Stegostoma tigrinum: one gene and its partners. The protein of the gene in region 1 interacts with the protein of each later gene in a pairwise test. Links are inferred from orthologs where the notes say so. Each region holds a gene or a part of one and is shown on either strand. Other genes may lie near its edges.

What was found.
Region 2: the proteins of cinp (region 1) and atrip interact in binary tests that used the Homo sapiens proteins (3 or more experiments, as listed by UniProt). The link is inferred for Stegostoma tigrinum from reciprocal best matches to the Homo sapiens genes CINP and ATRIP.
Region 3: the proteins of cinp (region 1) and cluap1 interact in binary tests that used the Homo sapiens proteins (3 or more experiments, as listed by UniProt). The two-hybrid records come from large-scale screens. The link is inferred for Stegostoma tigrinum from reciprocal best matches to the Homo sapiens genes CINP and CLUAP1.

Annotation. Positions count from the first base shown.
Region 1 is NC_081363.1:38,566,676-38,577,027, forward strand, and holds the start of cinp (cyclin-dependent kinase 2-interacting protein), read right to left. Parts: upstream 5,178-10,352; 5' UTR 5,032-5,177; coding exon 5,025-5,031; intron 156-5,024; coding exon 1-155. UniProt on the Homo sapiens protein: Component of the DNA replication complex, which interacts with two kinases, CDK2 and CDC7, thereby providing a functional and physical link between CDK2 and CDC7 during firing of the origins of replication.
Region 2 is NC_081364.1:20,425,012-20,435,363, reverse strand, and holds the start of atrip (ATR-interacting protein), read left to right. Parts: upstream 1-3,985; 5' UTR 3,986-4,081; intron 4,082-5,805; 5' UTR 5,806-5,916; coding exon 5,917-5,929; intron 5,930-6,840; coding exon 6,841-7,293; intron 7,294-9,278; coding exon 9,279-9,361; intron 9,362-10,352. UniProt on the Homo sapiens protein: Required for checkpoint signaling after DNA damage. Required for ATR expression, possibly by stabilizing the protein.
Region 3 is NC_081376.1:31,624,976-31,635,327, reverse strand, and holds the start of cluap1 (clusterin-associated protein 1 homolog), read right to left. Parts: upstream 6,335-10,352; 5' UTR 5,966-6,334; coding exon 5,944-5,965; intron 5,363-5,943; coding exon 5,251-5,362; intron 4,381-5,250; coding exon 4,296-4,380; intron 4,177-4,295; coding exon 3,997-4,176; intron 3,404-3,996; coding exon 3,308-3,403; intron 1-3,307. UniProt on the Homo sapiens protein: Required for cilia biogenesis. Appears to function within the multiple intraflagellar transport complex B (IFT-B). Key regulator of hedgehog signaling.

The DNA of each region.
Region 1 (10,352 bases):
AACAATTTTATTTGCTACTGAGAATCCTGCATCATTAAGTGTTTCCCATTTCAGCATGGAGTTATGCCAGTCTGCAGCAGTATCCTTTATTTTTCTGACACTGTTGTTCAAGTCTTGTCTTCTTGGAGTTACAAAGCCTGAGCTTGGACATGGAGCTAGTAAACAAAAAAATGTATTAAGTTTCAGCTATTTAAGAAAAAATCTAATGCTTAACTACAGGTATTAACTTGCATTTATAAGAGGGTCTTTTAATGTCCCAAGGCACTTCAAGTGTATTAGAGATAGTCCTGCATCTAGTGTGCGCAAAACAGACTAAGCATACGATTGTTTCAAAGATAGTAGGAACTGCAGAGGGTTTCTGAAGAACGGTCTAGGCCAGAAATGTCAGCTTTCCTGCTCTTCTGATGCTGCTTGGCCTGCTGTGTTCATCCAGCTCTACACCTTGTTATCTAAGCAATACGATTGTGTCCTGTTTGCACAACTGGGACATGTAGCCGGCTTGTTACCAGAGGCTTTTACTCGAGGGATAGCACCCCAGAAGCAGCATAGCTGTGCAGGAAACCAGTACATTCATATGAAACATGTTTTGAGTGGGGATTGAACCCAGGCCTCAGAGGTACAGACACTACCACAGCAGCACAAAAGCCCCTCTGGGACATGTTTTTTTACAGATGATGATATTTCTAATCAGCCTGCTCAGACTCGAACCCAGACCACCCACCTCAGAGGTAGGGATATTACCACCAGACAACAACAGTCCCTTGGAAATCTTTTGTTTTAAGTGAAACAAAGCTCAGGCATATGGGACTAGTTTCGTTAGCAATAATGTTGATGGGGGTTTGTTTCCATGCTGCACAGCTATGACCTGGACCATAATCAATGGACACCACATGCTGGTCTGCTATTAGGTGTTTTCTAATCAGCCTCTTCAGGAAGTGTATGAAGATGTCAACAAGAAAAAAGGAAGCGTTAAGGTAAAGGATACTGAAGTCTTAAAAGAGCGGGTGCACTTGAGTCTAGAAAGTGCAAGGGGGTCATTTAAATAGGAAATTAGGAGAGCAAAAAACCAGTGGTGGATAAAACTAAGAAAAATCTAAAGATGTATAGTGGGGCACAAGAATAAACAGACAAAGAGTAGTACCATGTGTGTATAGCCCAAAGAGAGACAGACATAGCTGAATACTAAATATGTATTTTGCATTTGCATTCACAATAAAGGAGGACGATGAAGGTCCAGAAATTGAGGTGGGGGTGGAACTGTGATTTACTTACAGTCAGGGTTAAACAGCACTGTAACAGACCCTTTGGTCATCCATGCTGACCAGATATCCTTTATAAATCTAGTCCCATTTGCCAGCATTTGGGCCATATCCCTCTAAGCCTGCTTATTTAATCCAGATGCCTTTTAAATGTTGTAATTGTACCAGCCTCCACCACTTCCTCTGGCAGCTCATTCCAGACATGCACCACCTTGTGAAAGAGTTGTTCTTTTTAAATCTTTCCCCTGTCACCTTAAACCTATGCCCTTTAGTTTTGGCCTCCGCCCCACCCCCACCCAAGGGAAAAGACCTTTCCCATTTACCCCATCCATGACACTGCAGGGAAATAGCACTGGTCTGTCCAGCCTCTCCTATTGCTCAAACCCTCCAACCCTGACAACGTTCAGAACCCTTTCTAGTTTCACAACATCCTTCCTACGGCAGGGAGACCAGAAGTGCACACGATACTCCAAAAGTGGCTGAACCAAAGCCCCTGACCTCCCAACTCCTATACTCAATGTACTGACCAATAAAGGCAAGCATACCAAATACCTTCTTCACTTTCCTATCTACCTGCGATTTCACTTTCAAGGAACTATGAACCTGCACTCCAAGGTGTCTTTGTCCAGCAACACACCCCAGGACCATACTATTGCGTATATATCCTGCTCTGATCTGCCTTTCCAAAATGCAGCACCTCACATTTATCTAAATTAAACTCCATCTGCCAGCCCTCAGCCCATTGGCCCATCTGATCAAAATTCCATTGTACAGGAGGTAATTTTCTTCACTGCCCACTACAAATTCCATTTTGGTGTCATCTGCAAACTTACTAACTATCTCTCCTATAGTCACATCCAAATTATTTTTATATAAATGACAAAAATCAGTTCACCAGCACCAATCCTCGTGGTACACCACAGGTCACAGGCCTCCAGTCTGAAAACCAATCCTCCACCACCATCATCTCTTTCATCTGAGCGCCAATTCGGAACCAAATGGCTAGTTTTCCCTGTATTCCGTGTGATCTAAACTTGCTAACCTGTCTACCACGAGGAACCTTGTTGAACATCTTACTAAAGTCCAAATGGATCACATCCACTGCTCTGCCCTCTGAATTTTTTGAAGTAACACAATCAAGTTACTGAGACAATTTTCCATGCACCATGCACGCACTTGACCAAATTAGCATCGAGGGGGAAGATATTAGTGGCTTTAGCAGCTTTAAATGTAGAAAATTTCCTAGGCCCAGATGAGATGTATCCAAGACTGCTTAGGGAGGCACGGGAGCAGGGGCCATGAAAATTTTCAACTTCTTTCCGACCACAGAAAAGGTGCCGGAGCACAGCTAATCTTAATACCATTATTCATGAAGGGTGTAGGGATAAACCAGGAAACTATAGGCAGGAGAGGCTGACATCTGTGGTAGGGAAATGATAGGCAAAGAAAATTGAGACACAAAATTAAAGTCCCCTTGAATTAATCAAGGATAGTGGGCATAGCTTTGTAAGTGGGGAAATCATAACTAACAAACTTGATTAAATTTTTCCACAGACGTGACTTGTATGTGGATGGGGGTGATATAGTTGATGCAGCCAGAATAGACTTCACTAGAGCTTAAGACAAGTTCGAGCATGGGACACTCATTAAGAAGCTCAGATTCCATGGGATCCAGGGCAATTTGGCAAAGCACAGAGTGGTGATGAAAGGATGCACTGTGCTATGGCTGGAAGCCTGTGTCCAGTGGTTTACCACAGTACAATGACAACGAGGAAAGCCTTGGACTACAGGACAATATAGATAAATTGGAGTTTCATCCTAAAAAGTAAACAAGTTGATGCATTTTGGGTGCATTAACCAGCAAGAGAATACATATTGAATAATAAGAACTCGAGGAAGTCCAGAAGAATCTTGCTGAGTGTGTGCATAGATCCTTGAAGGCAGCAAGTAAGGAGGCATATGGGATACTTTCTTCGTCAAGGTATAGCAGCCAAGAGTAAGGAGGTTATGCTGGACCTGAATATAGTGTTAATTAGGTTACAGCTGGAGCAGTGAGCAGTGCTAGTTTCCACACTACAGGAAGGATTTGATTGTACATTTGAGCATGCAAAAGAGATTCACCAGGATATTGCCTGGGCTACAGCCATTTAGCTTTGCTGAAGGCGATGCATTTTGGAAGATCCAATTCAAGAGTGAACTATGTGGAAAATAGAAAAGCCCTGGGGAAAAGCGATGTACAGAGAGATCTGGGTGTTCAGGTCCATTGTACTCTGAAGGCTGCTATGCAGGTCGATAGAGTGGTCAAGAAGGCATACAGCATGCGTTCATTCATCGGACGGGGTATTGAGTAAAAGAGTTGCCAGGCCATGTTACAGTTGTATAGGACCTTGGTTCGACCACATTTGGAATACTATGTACAGTTCTAGTCACCACATTACCAAAAGAATGTGGATGCTTTGGAGTGGGTGCAGAGGAGGTTCACCAGGACGTTGCCTGGTACGTAGGGTGCTAACTATGAAGAGATGTTGAGTAGATTGGGATTATTTACATTAGAAAGGCAGAGGTTGAGGGGGTGACAAGACAGGGTGGAGAGCAAGAAGCTTCCCCCACCTCCCCAGAGTGGGGGAACTCAATTACTAGAGGTCACAATTTCAAGGTGAGGGGGGAAAAGTTTAAGGGAGATATAAATGGAAATTTCTTTACACAGAGGGTGGTGGGTCCCTGGAACACACTGGCAGCAGAGATGGCAGAGGCAGGCACAACAGCATCATTTAAGATGTATCTTGATAGATACACAAATGGGCAGGGAGCAGAAGGATACAAATGCTTAGAAAATAGGCAACAGGTGTAGATAGAGGATCTGGATCAGCACAGGCTTGGAGGGCCAAAGGGCCTGTTACTGTGCTGTAATTTTATTTGAAAGTCAGATTTGATTTCCTTAGAGCAAAGAAGGCTGAGGGGGAAAATCTGATTGAGTACTCCAAAATTCTCATGTGCATAGAGGGAAACATTTCCATAGTAGAGTTTTCACTAACTGGAGGGCGCAGTTTTCAAACTAAAGGTGCAGAAAGTTTATTGGGAATTTGAGGATACTGTTTTCTACCCCCCAACGCACCTGGAACCTACTGCCTGAAAAGGTGGTAAAAATGGGAAATCCGCAAGACATTTGAGAACTATTTAGATGAACACTCGAAACGTTTTAACACACTAGACTCCAGGCCAAGGGGTGAAAAATGCGACTAGGATACAGAGGCGCGTGATGGGTCGAAGGGCCTCTTTCCGTCCTGACCGACTCCAAAACACGTTATTGCGCATCTTGTTCAGTACGTTTTGGTCAATAAAAGATGGATTTTTTTTGGGGGGGGGCGTCGAGTTCAGAATTTACTCTTCCGATTTACCTTCGGCTTAAGAACAATAATTCCTTATGCACTGTACAATAATGTACAATTTTGTTCGTTAAGATTCCTATGATGCACGTTGGGGCCTCTTACTCCATTACAGCCACCTCTACAAATGTGTAACCGTAGGGCGTCTCACAAATTCTTAGCTTAGTAATATTCATTTTTATTTCCCATGAAGCCGCATCATTTTACACGTTTTCACGTGTTTTCCATCCTTGAAACGTCTGCTGCCGCTTTTCCCTAAAGGCTAAACTTTTGAGATTGCGATTAACGCAACACATTTTAAATCTTTCCAAATCAGCCTTAGAAAGTAATTCAGGGGAAAAAAAACCCTTAAATTTCACACGAAATAACTAAGCCATACCGTCCATGTCTACCACATTTGCGCTGAAGTCACTTCACAACTTGTCCGAAGTCACTACGTCAGGATCACGGACAAGCTACAAGTGAAACGTTTCGTTGATGAACCGTCTAGGGGACAGTAACAAACTGTACCCCGTGTATCAAAAGGGCCAGGATAGCTTTACCCTCATTGGTGAAGAAGATTGCATTCTGATTGGCGGAGCGGTAGCACCGCTGATTAGCGAAGACCCTGATTGGGCAGACTGCGTTCTCCGATTGGCGGAGCGGACAGTGTTCTCTGATTGGTGAAGTGGGCACGATATTTGTGTCGAAGTGGGGGGATAGCGCCATTATGATTGGTGGAGCGTGTTACCCGTTCTAATTGGACACCCTTGACCAGTGAAATGCTATCCTTACTCTGATTGGTGAAGCCGTCACACGGCACCAAAGGATGGAACGGACTGTTCATTCTGATTGGTGGAATGGCCTGTCCGTGCTGATTGGTGGAGCTACTCTCGGCTCTGACGCGGGGGGGGGGGAGGGAAAAGGCCTCGGGAGCAACATGGCGGTTGGGCAGAGAGAAATTGTATGAGACTCAGGGGATCTAACTTGGAGCGTGGTAAGTGATGGTGGGGATGGGTCTGACATACACGTGAGGAGTGTGGCCTTAAGTGGTCCATGGGGTGGTGGGTGGACCATTGTCGCAGGCCCGGCTGAGGAGAATAGATTCTCTGGCTCTGGTAGTAGTGATCTCCTGATGTGTTGACAAGGCTCTTGAGATCGAATAGGTTTACAATATTAAAAATGATTGTTCAGTCATTGTATTCTAGACAGTGGCGGAATGTTTCGTGTGAAACATTTAAAATTATTTCTATCCCCCTTCCAATGTTTAAACTATATTGAATGATACCTGTTAAACTTAAGTAAATTAGACATTTTTCCAGCACATACAACTATGCAACGTTCTGGAAGCAACTGATAACAAGGCAGTTTTTTTGGCAGCTAATAACATTTTTAACCTCATTGGCCTGACATATCCCAGGCTTCCAATATCACCAAGAAAGGGGATCAATCCTTGCTCAATGAACAAAACAGGAGGATTCCTAAAAATTAATTGTCACCTTCATGTGCCAAACAACGTAAGCAGCAAGTGACTTACAGAGCTAAATGATTCCATAACCAACAGATCAGATCTAAGCTCTGCAGTGCTGCCACATCCAGTTGTGAATGATAGTGTACAGTTAAACAAATCGCTGGAAGAGGAGACTCCACAAATATTCCCATCTTCAATGATGGGGGAGCCCAACACATTAGCGCAAAAGATAAGGCTGATGTATTTGCAACAGTCTTCAGCCAGAATTGCTGTGATTTATCCATTCCATCCTTTCACAGAGGTCCCCAGCATCGCAAATACCAGACTTCATCCAATTCAGTTCACTCCACATCATATCAAGAAATAGCTGAAGGCTCTGGGTTCTGTAAAGGCTGTAGGCCCTGACACCATTCCAGCAATAGTTCCAGCAGTTGCTGAAGATTTCTGTGTGGCCACAGCACTGGCATCTACCCAACAATGTAGAAAATTACCCGAATATGTTCTGTACACAAAAACAGGACAAATCCAACGTGGCCAATTACTTCCCCATCAGTCTACTGTTAATCATTAGTAAAGTCATATATCATCCCATATATCATCGATAGTTCTTGCAAGCAGCACTTGTTCCGCAATAACATGCTGAATGATCAGAGATAATGGGAACTGCAGATGCTGGAGAATCTGAGATAACAAAGTATGGAGCTGGATGAACATAGCATGCCAAGAAGCATCTTAGGAGCACAAAAGCTGACATTTCGGGCCTAGACCCTTCATCAGAAAACCCTTTTCTGATGAAGGGTCTAGGCCCGAAACATCAGCTTTTGTCCTCCGAAGGAGCTGCTTGGTCTGCTGTGTTCATCCAGCTCCACACTTTGTTATCTCACATGCTGAATGATGCCTTGTACGGGTTCCGCCAAGGCCACTCACCTCCTGATCTCATTACAGCCTTGGTTCAAACTTGAACAAAATAACTAAATTCCAGGCATTAGGCGAAAGTGACTGCCCTTGACATCAAGGCTGTGGCACTTCAGCCCGAGTGTGGCATCGAGGAGCTCTGCACAACTGGAATCAGTTTGATTCGGGAGTCGGAGTCATACCCAAGCAAAGGAGGATGGTTGTGGTTGTCGGACGTTAATCATCTCAGTTCCAGATATCTCTGCAAGGGTTACTCAAGATAATGCCCTTGGCCCAACCATTCTTATTAATGACCTTCCCCCCCCATCATAACATTAGAAATAGAAAGGTTTGCCAACACTTGCCTGATGTTCAGTACCATTCACAACTTCTCAGACACTGAAGCCATCCATGTCTAAATGCAGCAAGACTTGGCCAATATCCGGATTTGAACTGACAAGTGGCAAGACCACAGTATGATAAAATTGTGTATTATGTTTAAAAGTGAGGCACTTCAATCTGACGCAAGGATGTAAAATTTGAATTAGGAAGTAATGATGGCATGGAGTACATTGGGATTGGGAAAATACATTAACAGGCATGACTATACATATGCTGTAGATAGCTTTAAAAGAAATATTACGTGCCTTACATTAACTATACATTCCTTCAAAGTATAAAAACTTAAATCTGGCTAACAAGGAAATTAAGGATTGTGTAAGATTAAAAGATTTATAAATTTGCCACAAATAGTACTAAACGTAAGGGTGGGAGATTTTTAAGAGTATAGCAAGGAAGGACTCATAAGGAAAAGGAGAATAGAATATGAATGCAATCTTGTAAAAAACCATAAGTGGTCTGTAAAAGCTTCAGGTATGTAGAGAGGAAAGGTTTGGCTGAGGCGAATGTTAGTCTGTCAGGCACATATATAATGGGGAATGGAGAAATGGTTGAGAAGACAAATAATTACTTTATGTCTGCTTTCATCGAGAAAGGTGTAAGAAACTCCCAGCATTAGAAATGCAACTGACTCGGGACAATGAGGAGTTGAAGAAAATTGGTATTTGTAGTAAGGTTGTTCTGGAAAAATGAATAAGACTGAAAGTTGTTAAGTTCTCTTGACCTGATATTCTGTATCCCACAGGGCTGAAGGCAATGATTGATGATATAGAGAATATATTAGTGATCATCCTCCAGCTTTTGATAGATTCTGAAATGTTTCTGGCAGAATGTCACCCATTTTTTAAGAAGGCAGCGAGAGAGAAAACAGGGAATTACAGACCTGCCATTCTTACATCAGTAATAGGGAAAATACCATATAGTAAAGAATGGGATAAATAGACACTTGGATAAAAATCATCTGATTGGGCATAGTCAGCATGGACGTTTGAATGGGAAATCATATTTGACAAACTTTTTTGAGGATGTTACGAACAAAATTGATAAAGGAGAGTTGATGAATTTTGTACGCTTGGATTTTCAGAAAGCTTCCGATGAAGTCTCCCACAGAAGACTGTTAAGCAAATTAAAGCACATGTGATAGATACTGGCATGAGTTAAGGATTGGCTAACAAGCGGTAAACAGAATGTAAGAGTAAGCAAATCATTCTCTTGTTGACAGATGGAATTTACTACAGGTAGGGGTGAATGACCACTTTAGGTTAGAAGAACCAAACCTGAGATTTTGGGATCTGCATCGTTGTATTCATTACCTAGATGCAGTGACCCTTTGGAGGAATATCTAAATACACTGGTTTCAAGAACGAGCCAAGGCTGGGAATTCTGAGGTGAAGTGTGCAATTTACCTCTTGATCTTGCAAAGCCAATCCAATGTCAAGAAAGCAGCGTGTATGTCTGCTTGCCCAGATGAGTGCAGCACCAACAACATTCAGGAAGAGCGACACTGCCCTAAACCAAACAGCCTACTTGATCGTCACCAATCCACCAGCTCAACACTAAACATTCATTGCCTTTAACATCTGATGCTTAATAGAAGCACTGTGAAACATGTGCAAGATGCAGTGCTACATCTCGCCTTTCTCAGCACCATTTAAGCTCATGCATTCTACCACCTGGAGGCACAAAGGGAGCTGACACATGAGACTACCAGCACCCAGATGTTCCCCTCCAGGTTACACACCGTCCTGACTTGGAACTGTACTGCTGTTCTTTCACTATCACTGGGTCAGAAGTGTGGAATTCATTTCCTAATAGCTCCACGAGTGTACCTTCACCACTTGGACTGCAGCAGTTCAAGAAAGCAAATTCACTGCTATCTTGATAACCGATAGGGATCAATAACAAATGTTGGTCTTTCCAGTGATGCCTATTTCCTATGGAAGAATAAAATAAATGTTCTGTGTCATTAAAAGGGATAGGTTGCAAAGCAATTAGAATTTCAACACATGAATAAGGTAATAAAAGGGATATAGCAGTTCACCATTCAGCTATGGGAGCAATTGGAGCTCTGGCCAGATTATTACTTTGTGAGGCTGTCAGAACTTGGACTTTAACTTGCATTTTCAATAGTAAAGCCTTGTGTTAATTTGTGCATTTTTGCTGGTTCCAAACTGAATGAGATTATTGTGAAATTATCCTAATTCTTTCTCTCTGCTTTGCTTCCTTCCAAGAGCTGTTGAGAATGAACCCTGTCAAGAGCTTGTTTTAGGAGCGGGCACATCAAGTTGAAACGTTTTTACAAACAACATTGCCATTAAATTTTATGTTTTAAAAACAACATCACAGTTCAATTTTAGGATGCTGCATTTCTGTTTTATCCAATCAATGACCTTTTCTGATCATATTTTACTGGAGCTGTTTATCCCATGGTGGTGTTTTTTTTAGTATTAACATACCTGTTGTATGTATTGAGCAAGCTGTTTTTATTATGTTAATCATTCAGTTAACGTGTTGTGTATTAAATGTGTCTATTGGATATGCCTGTTATTAACTTTTATATTTTCTTATTGGCATAAGTTTCTCCATACTGCCATTCCAGGTTTCAGTTTGTCACGTTATAGCTCGAGCGATTATCTATTATCACTACCTATCAATCTCATTATCTATAATGTGCCAAACATGATACAGAATCAGTAGGTGTTTTACACAGTATTGGATCGCACTATTGACACTTATGTGCAAGTCCCAAAATAGTCCATAGTAAGGTAACTGCTTAGAGCAGTTAATTGATGTGATGGAAGCTATCATTAACAGTTAAATAATTTTGAACTTTTTGTCATCATTTTGGACATGATATTTGACTGAGATAACTGACCAGTCAACTGCTATTGTCTGAACTTTAACTGTCCAATATAAACTTTTCTGGTGTGCGTAGATTGCATTTTGTGTGTAGTTAATGAGATT
Region 2 (10,352 bases), on another chromosome or scaffold:
TAGCCTTTAGGTTCGAGATTACCAGTCTAGCCATGGTATCACCATGCTATCACCTCACCTGATTATGTAAGACAAAATACTTCAAAAACTCAGGAGATTAGAAGCTGACAAGACCCTCAATTGATTGCCCACATCCTAGAGACTTTAAGTCTCTAGGATACTGGATGAACTGGTTGGAATTTTCCAAAATTCCCCACATTCTGGAAACATCCCAGTGGATTTTTAGAAATAAAAATTAAATGTCTTTTTGAAAAGTGATGGAGTATAAAAGTATGTAAATCTTACTACAACTATACAGGGCTTTGATACATTCTGCACCTGGAATGCAGTTTTGATCTCTTTAATCCTGTTAATCCTGGCATGGACTCCTGGTCTTCTTGGGAAAACTCATCATGGACTCCTGGCCTCAAGGCATTTGATAAGGTTCCCCATGGTAGGCTCATTCAGAAGGTCAGGAGGAATGGGATACAGGGGAACTTAGCTGCTTGGATACAGAATTGGCTGGCCAACAGAAGACAGCGAGTGGTAGTAGAAGGAAAATATTCTGCCTGGAAGTCAGTGGTTAGTGGTGTTCCACAGGGCTCTGTCCTTGGGCCTCTACTGTTTGTAATTTTTATTAATGACTTGGATGAGGGGATTGAAGGATGGGTCAGCAAGTTTGCAGACGACACAAAGGTCGGAGGTGTCGTTGACAGTGTAGAGGGCTGTTGTAGGCTGCAGCGGGACATTGACAGGATGCAGAGATGGGCTGAGAGGTGGCAGATGGAGTTCAACCTGGATAAATGCGAGGTGATGCATTTTGGAAGGTCGAATTTGAAAGCTGAGTACAGGATTAAGGATAGGATTCTTGGCAGCGTGGAGGAACAGAGGGATCTTGGTGTGCAGATACATAGATCCCTTAAAATGGCCACCCAAGTGGACAGGGTTGTTAAGAAAGCATATGGTGTTTTGGCTTTCATTAACAGGGGGATTGAGTTTAAGAGTCGTGAGATCTTGTTGCAGCTCTATAAAACTTTGGTTAGACCGCACTTGGAATACTGCGCCCAGTTCTGGTCGACCTATTATAGGAAAGATGTGGATGCTTTGGAGAGGGTTCAGAGGAGGTTTACCAGGATGCTGCCTGGACTGGAGGGCTTATCTTATGAAGAGAGGTTGACTGAGCTCGGTCTCTTTTCATTGGAGAAAAGGAGGAGGAGAGGCGACCTAATTGAGGTATACAAGATAATGAGAGGCATAGATAGAGTTGATAGCCAGAGACTATTTCCCAGGGCAGAAATGGCTAGCACGAGGGGTCATAGTTTTAAGCTGGTTGGTGGAAAGTATAGAGGGGATGTCAGAGGCAGGTTCTTTACGCAGAGAGTTGTGAGAGCATGGAATGCGTTGCCAGCAGCAGTTGTGGAAGCAAGGTCATTGGGGTCATTTAAGAGACTGCTGGACATGTATATGGTCACAGAAATTTGAGGGTGCATACATGAGGATCAATGGTCGGCACAACATTGTGGGCTGAAGGGCCTGTTCTGTGCTGTACTGTTCTATGTTCTATGTTCTATGTTCTAAATCCAGCATGGATTCCCTGCTCCAGAAAGACTTTTACCTTTATTTCTTTATTTTTCTGATCTATAACTAATATTTTGTACCTAGGTATCTTTGTACTTAGCTTTATAAGGACTGCAATGCTGATCTTTTAACTTTATGCTTTCACTTTTCTAACTTAGACTTAAGATTTTGTACCTTGGTATCTTTGTACATTAGACAGTGCCAGAAATGGTGATTTTGTACACTTTTAGCTGTGCTCATATATCTCTGTACTTTGAGTATGTGACAATATACTTAATTCTAATTTTAATACAAGATACATATTTTCATTGGAATTAATTCAAGTTCCTCAGGCTGATTCCTAGAATGAAGTAATTGTCTGATGAGGAAAGTTTTGTATGAACATGCCAGTTCATTACACTGCATGAACCACTCCTCACCATGAAGGTTGCCGCCAACATCCTCTTTAAATGTAGGCAGTTACTGGGTCTGTTTGGTGTAGAGTGGCAAAGAAGAACTCTTCTTATTCTAACTAGAAGAATTTTTTTTAGTTGACAAGAAATCATTTATTGTATGTTTTCAACTGGTTACTTTGCATTGATACAGTACACAGAGACTTTGAGGAGGGCCAGATACAAGTCCTACTCCTTTGAGATCCGAAACTGTTGTGTCCACGAATCCATGTTATCATACTCAGATGGAAAAATCAGTAAAACATACGAATGACACATTCTGGCCTCACCCATCTTGTACACCTCGAGATAGAACCGTAGTAACTTTGTTTATTTAAACCTTTTATCCTCTCGCTAATGGGTGGTGCTCATGTAATACCTCAGTATTAATGCTTACAGACCCCTATACAACAAAGGTTAAGCTGGCTGTGTCGATATTCCTCGGAGTACTGTAAACATTTAGAAAGCTAAGATGTAATCGGACTGATAATAACAGTTTTGAGAGGGTGGATAGTAGGAGAACATTTCTACTCAGAATACCTCGGCGGGGGGGGGGTTAAAAAAAAGGTATTCCAGTTGAGACGTAGATGAGGAATTTCTTAATTCTTTTAGATGATTGTGAATCTTTGGAAATCCAAAGACAACAGTGGAGATATGGAATATATTCAAATTTGAGTTAAACAGGTTTTTGATTGATAAGGGACTCAAGTGTGATAGATGGTCGGGAAGGCAAATGAATTTCGGGCCACAGTCTGACAACCGTGAGCTTAGAAATGGGGAATGCAGCAGACTCAGTGCATCGAATGGTCTAGTTCTGCTCCTGCTTCTAATGATCTTACTCTATTTTAATTGATTCCTCAGCTGCCGGCAGCCTGTTTGCTAGATCAGGGTGGAATCTCTTTGCTGCCCTGGGGTGAGTCTTCAAATACAAACAACGAGGTCTTCCCTTGGAGTCTAGGCAGCGGGAAGAAAACCGGCTTTGGAGCATCAGCGTATTCCCAGGGATAGCAAGAACTGCAGATACTGGGGTCAGAGATAACACTGTGGAGCTGGAGGAACACAGCAGGCCAGGCAGCATCTGAGGAGCGGGACAATTTTGGGTCGGGACCCTCCTTCAGAAATGGGCCTGTGGACCCGAAACGTCAGTTTTCCTGCTCCTCTGATGCTGCTTGGCCTGCTGTGTTCATCCAGCTCCACACCTTGTTATATCCCAGAGTAATCCACTGCTGATATCTAATTCAGAACCACAGTATAACTTTGAAACGTAAACAATAGTCTCTGAAGAATATAAAATGTGAGGCTGGATGAACACAGCAGGCCAAGCAGCATCTCAGGAGCACAAAAGCTGACGTTTCGGGCCTAGACCCTTCATCAGAGAGGGGGATGGGGGGAGGGAACTGGAATAAATAGGGAGAGAGGGGGAGGCGGACCGAAGATGGACAGTAAAGAAGATAGGTGGAGAGAGTATAGGTGGGGAGGTAGGGAGGGGATAGGTCAGTCCAGGGAAGACGGACAGGTCAAGGAGGTGGGATGAGGTTAGTAGGTAGCTGGGGGTGCGGCTTGGGGTGGGAGGAAGGGATGGGTGAGAGGAAGAACCGGTTAGGGAGGCAGAGACAGGTTGGACTGGTTTTGGGATGCAGTGGGGGGGGGAGAGCTGGGCTGGTTGTGTGGTGCAGTGGGGGGAGGGGACGAACTGGGCTGGTTTAGGGATGCAGTTGGGGAAGGGGAGATTTTGAAACTGGTGAAGTCCACATTGATACCATTAGGCTGCAGGGTTCCCAGGCGGAATATGAGTTGCTGTTCCTGCAACCTTCGGGTGGCATCATTGTGGCAGTGCAGGAGGTCTCTGAAGAATGTTTGTTTTTGAGGGAGTAAATATTATGACACTTGAATGTGTTCTGTGATTCGAAACGCATTATCAAAATACATTTTGAACCTTGACGATACCGTAGTGGTAGGGACCTCCAATCGGAAATCTGGATGGGAGGATGTGTACAGGAAGAAGCGGTGAGTTGATTGGTCCTAGTTGGCGGCACGCGGTTCCAGGTGGACAATATGGCCGCTAGGGGCCGGTACCTGCTGTTTGAAGAGATGTGAGTTTCAGAATTGGAGAGTCTTGCGGATTTTTAATTACTATTCTGATAGATTCACTTGTTCGTCAGGAAAAGTTGCGAAGCTTGAAGCCGTTCAGTCATACATAAAGAGTAAAATCTGTTTGGGGAGAAGACAGTTGCCTGACTTTTATAAATTGAGAATGCAGGAAATAATCAGCGCGTTAGTAGTATTATCTGAAAAGAGAAACGGAGTTAACTTTCAGTTCCCTGACTTTTCATCAGAACTGGATCCGTTATAAACATAGCATTTAGAGGTTTCAGATATTCTAAACGGCCCGTTCAGAGACATTATTATATACCTCTGGAGCAAGTGGGACGAACCCAGGTCTCTTGGCTCAGAGGGAGGGACATCACCATCATGCCACAACAGGTGCATTGGATGAAATTGAAAAAGTAAAGTTGGTACCATGTTCCAGTTCTGATCAAAACACATCAACCTTAATTCTGTTATTTGCATGCATCGCCAGGCTTGTAGAACATACGTTGATTTGATAAATCAAATCAAGATATGTCTATGTTTCAGATTACGTACATTCACATTATTGAGTGAGCTGAATGTTAAGAATTCATGCCTGATCAGAAGAAATTTTGGTCTGTCTTTTAACAATATTAAACGTCTCTGGCTTTTGCAACATTATTTAGAAGCATGTTCACAAGCATGTATTAAATTCTCAAATAATCTAGGTAAATAATTTGTATTTTGCAAGTGATTTGAAGGGTAATTGATACCAATGTTTTTCTGAAATTAATGTTGCTAAGGTCCGTATATGATGATTTACAACTAAAGTAAGAAGAGTGATTAATGCAGTATGGCCTTCAGAATGGACCTTCCATTGTTTGTCATAAGGAGAGGCTGGGACTTCTTTCCCTGGAGCATAGTAGGCTTAGGGGTGACCGTTATATATGTTTATAAAATCATCAGGTGCATACATAAAGTGAATAGCTGAGTCTTTTCCCTCGGGTAGGGCAACTCAGAACTAGAGGGCATATGTTTCAAGTGAAAGGGGAAAGCATTAAAAGGCACCAAAGGGATAACATTTTCACATGCACAAACCACCAGGGGAAGTGGTAGAGGTGAGTACAATTGCAGTGTTCAAAAGACATCTGGACAAGTACACGGATAGGGAAGATTTAGTGGGATATAGGCCAAATACAGGCAAATGGAACTGGTTCAGTTGGGAAACCTGGGTTAGCATGGATGAAATGGGCCGAATGGACTGTTTCCATGCTGTATGCCTTTATGACTCTTATTTTTAGCAGGATTTTTGGGGTACAACTTTGCTTGGATATGTCATGGGCAAACCCCTATTGATATGAACTGCTCGCTGTCAAAGTTCATTTAAACATATTTGTGACGTGTATTTTGTTTTAAATTAAAATCTAGGTCATAATTGAGCTTTTAGCACTAATTTAACTTTCATCAAAATTATTTACTGCAACACTTCCAAGAACACAGGCCAACTGTGGCATCCTAGTTGCTGTATTCTAGACATCAATGAATTCAGCACCGTGGTAGATCTTCTACCAATCTGTGTAAATGAGCTCACTTGAGTGTTGCAAAGATCTCTGTTTCCCCCGTCTTTTCTCCTAAGTACCACACATCAGTTGAAAGAATGTGCAGGTGAATTGTTTACAGGTTTTTACCAGTACTCTTCTAACCAGTTCTGAGAATGTCTGAAAATTTTTGTCTTTCATCTCTGCAGGAAAATGGGTTCTGCCTTTGGTTAGCAGATCAAGAAGTTGCCAAGTGCAAACTAATTGAACCTGTGCAACAGAGTTTTAAATCAGCACTGGATTGTTGATTCAGGTGAAGCATGAATGTTTCAAGTAAGCATAATGTTGAAGTGCATTCTGTTTTATTGACTGCTTGCTGCTTGAGAAATGATATGCCATAGTTGTAGTTCAAAGATATTTGAAGGGAATGATATTTGCAGGTATACAAGTACTGTAGACAGTTGAATATTTTAAGCCCTGATCTGTTTGAAGTTCCAACAGCCTTTACAAGCAAGTTAAACTCAAACTTGCATGTTAGCCTCAAAGGGCACATCATCCCATTATCTCTGACATCATTTATATATTTGGGCTTTGCTCATCCCTATCTTTGTAACCTCATCCGGTTCTACCATCCAGAATATCTCTGTCCTCTTCTGACTCTGGCCTCTCGTGCAATCTGAATTTTAATTGTCCCACTGTTGATTGTGCCTTCAGCTGCTAAAGCTCTTAAGTTCTGGAATTCTCTCCTTCACCTCTCTGCTTTTGTACTCTTTCCTCTCATCTTTTGAGATACTCGTTAAAATCTGTTTTGTTCACTTGTTTTATTGTCTCCATTGTGACTGTGTTTAATTAAAAGCCTTTATGAGGCATTTTTTAAACCTTTTACTATGGTAATGATGCTGTACAAATGGACATTCACAGTAGTGGTGAATGTGTGGAATAGACTGTCTTTGGTAATTGGAAGTGGTGAATTCTTTATATATTGAGATGCAAGTGGCATATTTGTTTTAGGCTGTGATCAGATTATCTTTTGCAGCCCTTTTATTCTATAATTGGTCATGTATTAGAAGACTTTTTTCTGACTTTGGTGAATATCTGCCATGAAAGTCTTCAATTTTGGATTAAGAAAGTCTTCTTTGTGCGGATGTCAGCTTTCTGCGATCTGCCTTTTGATAAAGCAAATGTTAATTTAAGTGTGGATATTGTTTGTAAATGATTTATCTGTTGGCTGTTCTGCCCTGCAGGGTCAAATGCTGGAGCCATGTCATCAAACACCCTCTTTACAAACTCGGCAAAGAAACGAAACAGCTCTATTATTTATAGTCTTGAAAGCATGCCATCAGAAATTCCAATTTCAAACTTTGCAGGACTTTCCAACCGAGGAAAGAAGACCATAAACAGTGACATTGAAGGATTTCCACCAAACAAACGCCACAAAGCAGAACAGGACACTAGAACAAATGAGGATCCTTTTGGAGATAATGAAGATTTCACTGCAGATGATTTGGAGGAACTTGATATTCTAGCCTCACAAGTTCTAAGTCAGAATGTGACCAATGTGTCCAATGCTATGAAAGCATCAGTGAACAATGCTAATAACAGAGGACCATTAGGACTAACAAATGACGCAAGTATAAAAGTTGCTACTTTAGCAGCTGGATCATTAAGAAATGCAAATGCAGTAAAGGAACTTCCTGGTAATGTGCAGGTTTTTAATTTCAGGACTTTCAATATTATACTCAAAGCTGATGTGGTAAATTGTAAAGTTTTAAAACGATTATGTAGTTAGTTTTCTCCATTCTTTTGCCATATTACAATGACATGAGCACCAGTTCCAAGTGGGCATGATTCACATGTACACATTCTCAAATTGTTGTGGCAAACACTTTGACAGAAGGGGGTGATTTACGAGAGGCATTTAGTACCACAGCTGAAATTGATCTGCTCACTAGGCAGCATTCACATGCACGCATTTCCCAGTTCATGACATTTGCTGCATTGACAAAGTGGTGCTGAGGCTAACTTTTATGACCCAGTAGGTATTCAAACTAAGGTTGCTTATTAGTGATTAGGATTGAATGTGGAACATTTTTGGCCATCGTACCCTGGCTAAAGTCTCCATAGATTTGTTCTTGTTGACTCATGAAGTAACTAACATGTTATAACTTTTAAATTGGTACAACTTTGATACACCTGTATACAGTTAAATTAGATGCAACAATAACTTATTTGTGTTGTGCGCCTCAGAAAAAAGTATTTTGGTGGACTTCATAAAGAGAAGAAGCAGGCATTACAAGGCACTCGTCAGACCACAGCTGAACAGATTGGGTTCCTTGTCTAAGTAAAGATATACTGGCATTGGAGGCGGTCAAGAGAAAGTTCACTAAGCTGATTCCAGATAGGGAAGGACTGTCTTATGAGGAGAGTTTGAATTGATCAGGCCTGTATTCTTTGGAATACTGAAAAATGAGAAGCCACCTTGTTGAGTTATAGTAGATGCACAGAAGACAGGATAGATGTGGAAAGGATGTTTCCTTTATGGGAGAGTCTGGGATTGGGGACATAATCTCTGAATAAGGGATCACATATTTATGAGGATTGTACATCAGTGGAATTCATTCCACAAAGGGTTGTTGTGGCTGAGTCATTAAGTGTATAAATTTTTAATCAGTAGGCCAATCTAAGGTTAGCAGGAAAAGGCAAGAACGTGGAGTTTAAGATTAGTAGATCAGCCGTGGTCTTGCTGAATGGCAGAGCAGACTCATTGGGCTGACTGACCTGGTTTTGCTTTAGTCTCGTATGGTCTTAAATATGTCAAAGACCATGCAGGCTGGAAACTAGAATCTTATTTCAAGAAAAAGTGTTTGAAAGTGGGGAGAGACATAACTAAGCACAGTGATTTGATAAGTGTTCCAGAACTATAGGATTTATTGGCCTTTGAGATTGTTGAGCGAGTTGAAACCAAAATTCAGAATCTGTAGAATAGAGGATAAATCCTGTCGCAGTTGGATGAAGTAAATGGTGGACAACTTTGAGAACTAGCTCTGATTTCTGAAATCAAATCGTGAATGAAGTGATCCATTTGTTGAAACGTGTCTCAGCAGCAGTGAGTGGAAGTTTGGGACACAAGATCAAAGAAGACAAGATGAATTTGAATGTTGAAGGGAGACTATTTTATGCTTGAGATTGTGTGCAGCACCAGGTGGAGTCATGGATTTTCAACCAGTGGTAGATAATAATGGGCTTAAGATATAATGAACAATTTTCAACTCACCCAGACCTTAATGTTGGACAGGAAATTCAATTGCCATTACAATGCTGTTGGCATACTATGTTGAAGTAGAGTTGAATGTTGATGGTGGGGCTGCTGTTTAATGGTGATCAAATAAGTCACACTCAGCTTTAACTAAATGGGTTTCAGAGATTTCACCCATATTATTAGGATTACATACAACAACTTCTTGATAATTAAGGCCACTTTATTTTTGCATAAAGTTAGATAAAGGCAGTACTTCTTGTGGTTTTCATAAAAGGGAGAGTCAGAAAAACATTGTACACATTGCACACAAAGCAGAAAAATGTACCATTTACAGGATGATTATGCAGGGTTGGTTGCAAGCAGTAAAAGTTTGTAAATTCCAATTTAATCACTGACTTTCCTGTTTTCTCTTTTTGCCCAAAGGGAATGGTCTCATTCAAAGTAGTGATACTGATTCATTTGGATTTGAGGTTCTTCAAGAACAACATGAGAAGCTGAGGCAACAGGTGATCTAAATTCTTTTGTACAGAAATGACCGTGACTGAATCAATCTGACTGTTCATACTAACAGTGTAGAGCGGGAGGAACACAGCAAGCCAGGCAGCATCAGAGGAGCAGGAAAGCTGATGTTTCAGGTCAAAACCCTTCTTTAGAAAATTTTCAGATTTTCTGAAGAAGAGTCCCGACCCGAAAAGTCAGCTATGTTCCTCCAGCTCCACACTGTTATCTCTGACTCCAGCATCAGCAGTTTTTCGCTATCTCTGACAGTTTGTACTGCTGGCTCGAGACTTTGCATGTTGATCATCCATCTCCAAGGGCTGTTATCAACAACTTTATTCTTACATTTGGGTAATTGCTGACAAAATTTATATCACTGAATAAATGTTGTGCAGTTTTTAGATTTGTCTGAAACTTTGTGCATCTGCATGGGTTCTTTAAGTCTGTTAAATGACAAATCCAAACTGCAGCCTGAAGTTTCCTTTCTTCATAGTGCTTTCTTCATATTGCTTTCATTTTTTCCTCTACACTGGATGATGCCCTGAGCCAAGTATAATTATACTAGATTTCTGGTCTTTTGTCATGTATTTAACAACAAAAAGCTTTTTTTTAAACCTCCAGAAGGCTTTTAAAAAATATTGTCAAGAAGAAAATAGCATAGCTTAGTTTGGCAATTTTTTGGTTGGTCTTGAGTTTCTGATGATACCAATGATTTTTTTTCTCGGTGATCAGAACATCAAAAACAAAAGCCTGAATGTTAATGTTTACAGGGGTTGAGAGTAACATTGTAAAATATGCTTTTGTTCAGGATTATCTTTGGAGGCCTTTATTTGTCAATGAATAAAGAGAAAACTGTTTGCGTCATTGCAGAATTGCTCACTGGACTTGCATCTGAATTTTAGTATTGGACAATTTGGCTTTGACGCCACCAAGGTATCTGCTGAGAATGCCCTTTCTTTTGAAATGCAATGAGCTATGATCACCATCTAAATAATAGCC
Region 3 (10,352 bases), on another chromosome or scaffold:
CTCTTGGATACTCGGGAGGGAGGAGATAAATGGACAGGTGCTGCATCTTCACCAGTTACAGGGGAAGGTGCCATAGGGCTCTGGGGAAGTGTTGGGGGTGAAGAAAGTGTAGACCAGGGTCTCCCGGAGGGAAAGGTCCCTGCGGAAGGCGGACAAGGGAGGGGAGGGGAGGGGAATAGGTGTCTGCTGGTGACTTCTTGCTGGGGGTGGCGGAAATGGCGTCTGATGATCTTCTGGATGTAGATACTGGTAGGATGGTAGGTGAGGATAAGGGGAACCCCATCGCTATTGAGGGAGGGAAGAGAAGGGGTGAGGGCAGAAAAGCGGGAGATGAGTTGGACTTGGTTGAAAGCCCTGTCAACAATGGAGGTGGGGTATCCTCGGTTGAGAAAGAAAGTGGACATGTCAGCGGCTTCCTTGTCGAAGTTGATCTCATCTGAATATATGCGATGGAGACAGAGGAACTGAGAGAACAGGATGGAGCCTTTACAGGAAGCAGGGTGTGAGATGTATAGCCCAGATAGCTATGGGAGTCAGTGGGTTTGTAGTGGATATTAGTGCCAATCTATCCCTAGAAGTGGAAACAGAAATATCAAGGAAGGGAATGGAGGAGTCAGAGGTAGACCAGGTGAGCATGATGGCAGGGTAGAAATTGGAGGCGAAATTGATGAAGTTTCCAATTCCAGACAAGGGAGGGAAACAGTACTGATGATATCATCGATGTATCGGAAAAAGAATTGTGGGTGGGGGACAGAGCAGGACAGGAACAATGCTGCTTGGCCTGCTGTGTTCATCTAGCTTCACACTTTGTTATCTTGAAACAATGGGTCTGCCCAGACAGTCCTGTTTGTGGATTTTAACAAGTTTCCACGTACCCCATGAAGAGACAGGCATAACTAGGAACCATACTGGTGCCCATGGCAACCCCTCTTACCTGAAGAAATGACAGGAATTGAAAGAGATGTTGTTGAGGGGGAAGACAAGCTCAGCCAAGTGGAGGAGGGTGGTGGGTGGGTGGAGATGGTTCAGGTCTTTGCTCCAGGAAGAAGCGGAGAGCCCCAAGACCCTCCTGGTGGGGAAGGGACATGTAAAGGGATTGCACGTCCATGGTAAAGAGGAGGTAGTTGGAACCGGTAAACTGGAAGTTTCGAAACCCACATAAGGCGTCAGAGGAAACAAGGATATACGTAGGCAGGGATTGGACCAGGTGAAGAAGACTGAGTCAAGGCAGAAAGAGATGAGTTCTGTGAGGCACGAGCAGGTTGAAACAATGGATCTGAGATGATGGGAACTGCAGAAGCCGGAGAATCCAAGATAACAAAGTGTGAAGCTGGATGAACACAGCAGGCCAAGCAGCATTTTAGGAGCACAAAAGCTGACGTTTCGGGCCTCTCTGATGAAGGGTCCAGGCCCGAAATGTCAGCTTTTGTGCTCCTGAGATGCTGCTTGACCTGCTGTGTTGATCCGGCTTCACACTTTGTTATCTTGAAACAATGGATCTGCTCGGACAGTCCTGTTTGTGGATTTTAACACACTTTAACACACCACCCTGCTCCCTGGCCAACATCTCTGTCTCTGGCTTGCTGCAGTGTTCCAGCGAAGCCCAATGCAAGCTGGAGGAACAACGTCTCATTTTCCACTTGAGGACCCTAAAGCCTGCCAGACTCAATATTGAGTTCAACAAATTTAGGGCCTAAACTCTCCCATGTCCCAGCCCCCTATCCCACACACCAAGCCTTGTTACCACATAGCCTGCCATTACACACACCCTGTTAGTCACTAACAGTGCCCATTAACAACTATTCACCCTCCCAGCCTGATCGTTAGCAACTCGTTTGTCTGCCCAACTGTCTTTCTTTCCTCTTGGGCTATATCCTATCATTTACTTCCAACCCAACCCACGTCCCCATTTTCTGCACATAAACTAACTTTTTCCCAGTCAACATCAGTTCTGAGGAATGGTCACCAGGCCTGAAACATTAACTCTGTTTTTACCTTCACAGATGCTGCCAGACCTGCTGAGCTTTTCCAGCAACTTTGTTTTTGTTCCTGATTTACAGCATCTGCAGTTCTTTCGGTTTTTAAATGATCGTGGGAACTGGAACATTTAGAATATTAAACCACCAGCCTCACATAGACCCCAAATAAGCAGTGTGTTTCGGATCTGGGTGAAGCCACTTCACAGAACTATGCAAATTTAGGGAAGTTAAATGCTTCAGGTGCCAAACAAAAGGCTACTTGAGGCATAAGTTCAAGCATACTTGCTAGAGGAGGAAGATACAGAATAAAAACCATACTACAAAAACATGAACAAAGCCTGCCTAACAAATCAAACAATACAATGTCTGTGTACCATTCGGTGATCGTACAGAGATGACATGGACAGTTATGTCTGACAAGCGTAAAAGCAAGAAAAGTGGCCTTGATCATAACTGAGTTATTGGTAAACAGAAAGGCAGTACAGATGGAAGTGAAGACTGAGGGCTCTGCCACTGTCATGGGAGAGCAAGTCTTCAGGAGGATTGAAGACCATTGGAACCATGCTGACAATATACAAGTTTTGTAGGGTCAAAAAAGCAGACAATAATATATTTTTTAAAAATTCAATATTTCACTACACAACGTACAATTACAAAGGGAGGTAAAAATCCAGCCCCTGTTACTGTGTCAGCCAGCTCATAGCTTTTAGCAAAGCTATCATCTTCAGTTCTCAACTGCTGCTGGTTGTGTCAAACTCATATGTTGGAAATTTTGTCCCACTAACATGTACCTCAGCTCCATTTAAAGTAACTAAGTAGCAGCAAAACATTTTAAGGGAAGTCAGGCAACTGGTTTACAGAGAAATGATTATGTCAAAAAGCTGATTTAAGTAAATAGTGGGAGGAGGCTCCTGACAAGCATAAATTTCAGAATTAGGCCAGTCATTTGATACCCTTTGCCTCACTGTAATTTCTATGTAATTCTCTGAAGTGAGCCAGTAAGCACCTAAAATGTTAACTGTGTTTCCCTCTCCAGAGATAGTGCGTAGCTTGCTGAGGGTTCCAATTTTTATGTTTTATTTTGATTTTCAGAATCCACAGCATTTTGTTATGGTTTTGAATTGTCAGTTCACCAGTGACTTGATATTCAAAAGTTCAGAAGCAAGTCCTCCCTATGATGGTCATACAAACTGCAGCAAGTTTTTTGACATTGTTGAACTAGTGTCACAAATTTACACTGAACACAGTAAAACCATTTATCTTTTATTTGGGGATATTGTTATCTTCCAGTTGTCAGATGCTAGTTGATCAGAAACCTGCTGACTCACCCTCAGGTCTACTTCTTTTCCCAACAAATCAAATACAGTTGCTCCTTTGGAGGTAATCTCAGAAGCTAGTTGTCTGGCAGTTTTCAAATCTGATATCTGGAATAGGTGAGAAGATGGAAAATATAAGCTACAAAACATCTCTCTGCAAATATTATTAAGGGCAGTTTACATCATGAAGACAGACTCTATGTTAGCACCAAAATTTGTGCACTGTCAGGGTTTATTTATATATTTTGTACAGTCCAGGAGCAAATCATTGGGTTGTAACAGGTGTATAACACATATTTACCACATGGTCAGGATTAAAACATCTCACTGCTGTAGGCCAAAATGAAAGTTTCACTTAAGTTCCCTGTATGGTTGAGTGTTGAACTGCTAACTTGACCTTGCGGCAACACTTTGATGGAACAGTAAAGCTAGATTGTTAAACATACTCTCAGTCAAAATACAGTGCAAATTCAAAAAGGCAAAGCTCCTGTGGAGCAGAATTTCACTGGAAAGGGTAATGAGTCATAGGTGGGGCTAGAAAACAATAGCCCTGGTCCTGAGGGATGGTTTAGTGAGAATTGATTTCGGTGGCAGAGGGGCATTGCTGAATTTGCCCTTATGTTCTCTTGTATTGTACTGCTCAAACAACAAACATCTGTGCTAATCTTGTCCTGAATGAGGAATTAAGTTGCATTACTCACCTTCGACCCCAAGTCAAATTTGAATTTTGAACTATCTTCTTCTGTATCCTCACTTGTGTCCATTCGCTTTGTTTTCATAGCATTATAGAGAACAGTAGTAATCTTCAGCAACTCTTTCACCGCATATCCATCAGCCTGGTATAACTTCTTAGTATTGAGCTTAATGTGAGCTTTAGTAGCCTGCAATACAAAGTAAATATATTCACAAAACATACTGCAGGTTTCTGGAGTTCATCCCAGATTCATGCTGTCCTACAGTTTTCACACACCAGGCTGAGGAAGAGCTATTTGCTGCTTACCATGAATTGTGCTACAGCTTTGATGAAGAAAACTCGGTCCTGTTCTGTATCTACATCTGTTGGGATATCTGTCTGGGGTTCGTATCTGATAAAACAAGTTCCAAGTAAGGTAAGTTACTTTCCAGTGTACTATTTTCACAACCCCCCTCCCTTTTAAAGGAAATTAGAACTTTTAAGGTTATCCCCAAAACACAGTTAAAATGGAAGGTGATGGTATAGTCTGTCAACTGTAACAAATGTAGTGCAGCAGAATCCAAACCTCATACTTTCCAGCAAGAACAAACTGCTTATTTTAAATCTCAACAGACCAAAGATCGGAATTACCTGCACTCCCTTTTTTCTATATCGTACTCCCAAGACGTAATGAACAAGTGCACATCAGCTGAAGGATGAGTGTTACAGTAACAGACTTGTGCCATAAGGTCTGCTACGATTTCTCATTTATTATGTCTTAAACAGTCTTATCATAAAAGTAAAGATTTAGTGCAAAATTTTCAATCTAAACACTCCATTTATACAAGCAAAATCACTGGGAATATTCTAGATGACTCCCTCTCTGCAATGGCCTACTATACCAACCACAGAAATACATTAATGCATTGATGTGATTTTGCAGCTGCACGTGGTTTTTCATCTCACAGTTGCATTGGCCTCAAATGCAGTCACTTTAATATGTATTCATGTTTTTATGCAGACAAATGCTGTAGCCAATTTGCACATAGCAAGGTCCTAAGATGATCAAACTAGATGAATATCCAGATATTTCAGAAGATGTTGATGCTGTTTGAGAGAAAAATGATGAATTTTCCAAACAGACAGTGCTGCTACAAAACTATACAGCCTTGGTTAGTGGTACAGATACCAAAGTAAATTCAATACCAAAACTTTCATAATTCATTCCATAGATATTGAATAACTAAGGTTATTATAAAAGTGCACTTTTAAGATCACAAACCTTTTAACGAGCCAAATGAGAATCTCTGATACCAAAGGAAAATTCGGAATCCGAAAGTTTTCCATAGAGATCAAACGGGGATACCCCAGAGCCCTCATCATCTCAGTGAAGTCTGAAATACAATAGGTCATCAGTGTTTATACATACATTAGTTAATTAGCAGCTTGGAGGTGCTAATTTCTGGAACTTTCCCATTATTGCACTTCTCAGAAGGATACTCTATTCTTGTAGTATCAAATTACATCTGTACACTGATTATAGAGGCTTTCTTCTTAAATAATGTATTAAGGATTAATATTGACAAGTCTGAGAAAGTACTAATAATTGATGCATCCATACAATATGGAACTAATGGCAAATTATTGTGCTCCTCAGCCTGCTTTTACAAAACAGAGGATGGTGTAAGGAATAATCTTGCAGATAATGCAAATTAAATCTTATTCTCATTATAAATGACAAAATTCATTCCTGGGTAAATAGTGTAAGAGAAACTATGTAATCTAAGATCATTTTTGTCTCCGTAGCTCTGTCTATCCTAAAATTTAAAAAGTTGGAGGCTGTTTCTGAATATAAATAATATACAAAGATGATGATCCTCCAGGGTTAAATAGCAGACCTACTGAACCCGAATATTTGTAAAACCAACGCTACTTCTACCCACAGCCTAAATTCAGACATGAAAATTATCCTTACTCCTCAGGTCTCTGAATGACATGATGCTGATGGAATCTATAGTCTAGATGGGGCCCTATCTTCCTCGGTCATGAAACACAACAAAATACTATATTTCCACTGTATCCAATACCGCCTAGCTTTGGTCCCGTTCACGGGCCTTCCCCGATTCCCAAACGCCGAGCATTGCCCGGTGACTGAACGCGGAATCAATCCACGTTTGCCCCTGCCACACCCCGTCCCTACTCTTCCCCAGACTGTTCCTGTCGGCTCGATTTTTTTTCTAACTTCTCTACTGAGTACTGGAGATGTGTAGCTTCAGATTTCTTTCTTTGTCGTTAGGCCCCGTTTCCATAGAGATCCCCGCCCGCTTTCTGCGCGACAGGCATTCTGGGAGCCACGGCCCCGGCGTCGTGCGTGAGACATCACCTGACGTCACGATCGATATGATGTCCAGGTAAAACGCGGTTGTGTCAACGGCGTTTCAGTTAGATCATGGCTGATTTATCTTCACTTCTTCAGTGTCAATCGTTTGTTCCATGTGGTGTGTATATTGTCTAAAATATTTATATATTGATATATAGGTCACATGAATATGATGCATCATAAGCTGCAAAATATTTTCGTCCAAACAATCCAATCTTTCATTTTTAAAAAATTGCATGCACAATAAGACTGTAAGAAAGGAAAACATGAGTAGATCTTTTGCAAGTTATGAACGTAATCCATAAAGAAAATTGTCATGCGCGGGGGGGAAATCTTTGTCCTTCTAGTCAACTCCAATTTTGCCTGTCCTGTACCTGTACTGGACATAAATCTTTAAATCATTCATGTATTTTAATTGTTGTTTTTGGCCATTTGTGTGGTGTCGGCAGTTATAGGCGTGTCATTACTTTTCTAGGGAACATTGCTACAATGGCAGCTGTGATAATTGGTGCTGTAAATTCATTGCATTTTTGGGAATTGAGGGTCTTATGGCACAGTGGTAGTGTATACCTTTGGGTCCTCTAGGGGCTGATTTAAGGTCCTATCTGATATAGAGGCATGATATGTACGAACACTTTGTGTACATTTTGTTTTGGAGAAATGTTGACCCCTGGAACTGATGGTGTTTCAGTACCTTGTTCAATTGACAAATCAAATCTCCTTCATCAGTTATTTCTGGTTGTATCTTTCCATATGTAGTTGCAATGATAGATCTGGGGGTCATTGGCTTTCACAATGTAAAGTTATGATGACTTGTGTCTCAAGTCTTCAAATTGCCAAGGTTAATGACTTATGTTGAATGTATTGAATTGTTTGTACTCTGATGATTTTCTAACATTGGCACTGATTTGTCACCTTTATCAAAGCGGAATTTAGCTATCTGTCATTATACTTTGATCTTATCATGCACTGTTGCTGCTGCTAGCTTCAGTCATGCTGCTGTAAGGAGCACGCAGCATGACGTTAGTTGCTGATCTGGACCATGTTCTCTGCTTCAGAGGGTTTATTTCTCCCTCTAAGAATACCCCTTGTACACATTTATGCTGAATCCAATATATTTTTTGATGATCCTTTGACAATTTTAACTTCTGCCTTAGCTGTTCCATTTTGATTGGGTGTAATGTGGAGAGGATATGTAGTGCTGAATTTTCCAAGCAATTATTAAATGTCTTAACTCATGGATTGAGGCTTGTTATTGCTTATCATATTAGGAATGCCAAGGCAATTGAAATGCTCTTTCAGGCATTCCAAAGTCTCACTGGTAGTTATTAACATCAGCTGATCTAATTCTCAGCAGTCCGAACTTCCAGAACCAGGCATCACTGTCTAAAGATATGCAGTGGGCCATTTAGGACTGAGCTGAGGAAAATTTCTTCCCTCAGAAAGTTGTGAAACTGTGGCATTCTGCGTGCCAGAATGCAGTTCATGCCAAAACATTGAATGTTTTCAAGAGGGATTCAGATATATGTCTTAGGTCTAAAAAAAATCAATGGCTATGGGAAGAAAGCAGGGACACAGCATTGAGTTGTATGGTCAGCTATGATCATATTGAATGGTGAAGAAGGCCTAAAGGCTGAATGGCACATTACTGTTCCTATCTTCTGTTTCTACGTAATAGTAATTAGTTTTAACAAGGTAATCTATTCCAGTGAGGGTAAAGAGGCCTATTCAGAGCTTCATCCATAGCCTGGGACTTAACATATAAGAAACCTACACTTTTTAAACATTCTACAGAGTATATTGTGGGACAAGTGGAAAATTAAGAAGCACCAACAGAGGTCTTGGGATGGGTGGTAAATACAGCATAGTCTATCTCAAAAGGAAAAGTAAATACAATTTTGTTTTAAATTCCTCCACTTGTGAACAGAAGAGGACAAATGTAAAATAATTAAATGAACCTCTCTCCCTATCTGTAACAGTTTTTATCTATCGAAATTCAAGAATTTTGCTTAGTACCCATCGTATAGAATTAAAGTTCATCTTCATTTCCACATTATTGGACATCAATTTGGTTTGCTCTTGCTCTGCATCATGGAGCCTAAACATTGCCTTTTACAACTTAATTTCCAGGTTATCGTCTTGGGAAAGTTCACAAAAGTCTGCGAAGTTTGTGATTTGCACAAGAACAGTTTAATTTGATTCGCTTCATGTGCTTCCGGAATCATCATTTCAACACTCAGATTTTTTTCGCCTTGGGACAATACAGTACTAACTTTTTTCTAGGATGTGGAGTATTTTGTCAGAATCAACAGCTGATAATTCTCCAGCAACTATCTTTTATCAGTTTAATTTTCTTTTTTCTCACAAAATCCTTGTATGTAAAGTGATTCAGCTTGCTGCAATTACAGTCTGCTTTCCCTGTGCTAAACATACTTTCTTTTCTTTCTTGTGTTGTCCTCCTTGTATTTAAATCCAGTACTGAAAACTGGATTTTTATGTTGTCCTTTCCTCAAATCATCCTTCCTTTCAGTTGTCGTGTGCTTGGAAGATTGGGATTGTCTCTCAACATAATACATAATTTCATCAGTTGTCCTATCAATACACTTCAATTGATGATTAAACACTTCAGAGATTCTACACATCAACAGTTTCCTTAATAATAGGTTTCTCTTCTCTCAGCAGACATACACTCAAAGCAGAATCACTTCTTTCTAGGACTATCTTATCTCTGATGCAATCATCGTTCAGTTGCCCTGACTCATAAGATTCAACTAGACATTTCATTGCCGTCAGTATTCTTCTTGCCTTCCTGGTCTCTAGTGTTAAACACATAGCATTTATAAATAACATGAGCAGAGTATTTAAATTGGGTCTTCAAAACCTTAAAAACTGTAAGTTTGGTTTGGTTCTTTGCTGAGATCTAGAGTGCCAAGCTTTCTCTCATACTGATAACAGAGTTGCTACTCTGGACTTTTACAGGTTTCTTGCTCAACTCTGTGGCAATTGCATAATTCTGCTTCTAAGACTGGAAGAATTTGCAACTCAGTCTCAAATTTAATTTCATTTCTTCAGGAGTAAGTGCTGGAATATTCATAGTTGTTATGACTTACACAGTTGCCAATTTCCGGTATAAGGGTTCAGAATTAAGCCATTTCTGAAGAAGGGTCTAAGCCCGAAACGTCAGTTTTCCTGCTGCTTGGCCTGCTGTGTTCATTCAGCTCTACACCTTGTTATCTCAGAATTAAGTCACGGTTGTTTTTTGCAGCTATTTGCTCTCAGTTGTGAAAATATGCTGAATCCAAGTTGTACACTTCTGACCTCCTGTTCCATGTGAAGTATAAATTAGCTACTGCCCTAAAGCTTTATTTACATCCGTGATATTTCATGATGTGAGAGATCAAGTGTATGGTAAGCCACAGTGTACAAAGGTCTTTATTCAAACATACTCCTTGTATCCCTTAGTACCCAACAATCTATCAACTCTTGTGAATATATTCAACGACTGAGAAACCCCAACTTCCTAGGATAGAGGATTCTAAAGATTCACAATCACTGGTCCTAAATGGATAACCTCTTATTCTGAGACAGAGGGAACATCAGCATTTACACTGGCAAGCCCTTAAAGCTTTTACATCTTTCAGTTATATCATGTCGTTTTTAAAATTCCATGGAAGATAGGTCTAGTTTATTCAGTTTCTGAATACCAAATCCCCTCACATTAGGAATCAGCCTCGCAATATTCACCAAAGGCAAGTACATTCAGTGTGATATTGCCGTGATCATAGCAAATAAAATGCTCTTTTGTGATGTCATATCCTCCCTACCCAGCAACCAGGCAATGGTGGCCAAAAGCTTTTCAGCTAACTTTATTCTTCTCCTGAACATGTCACAGTTATTCAATCATACATGTGTCAACTGTTTAATTTATTGTCCCCAATTGACGTCAATTTGCATTCATAAAGATTTATGATGGATTTTTTTCTAAAAGATATATTGGGCATTAG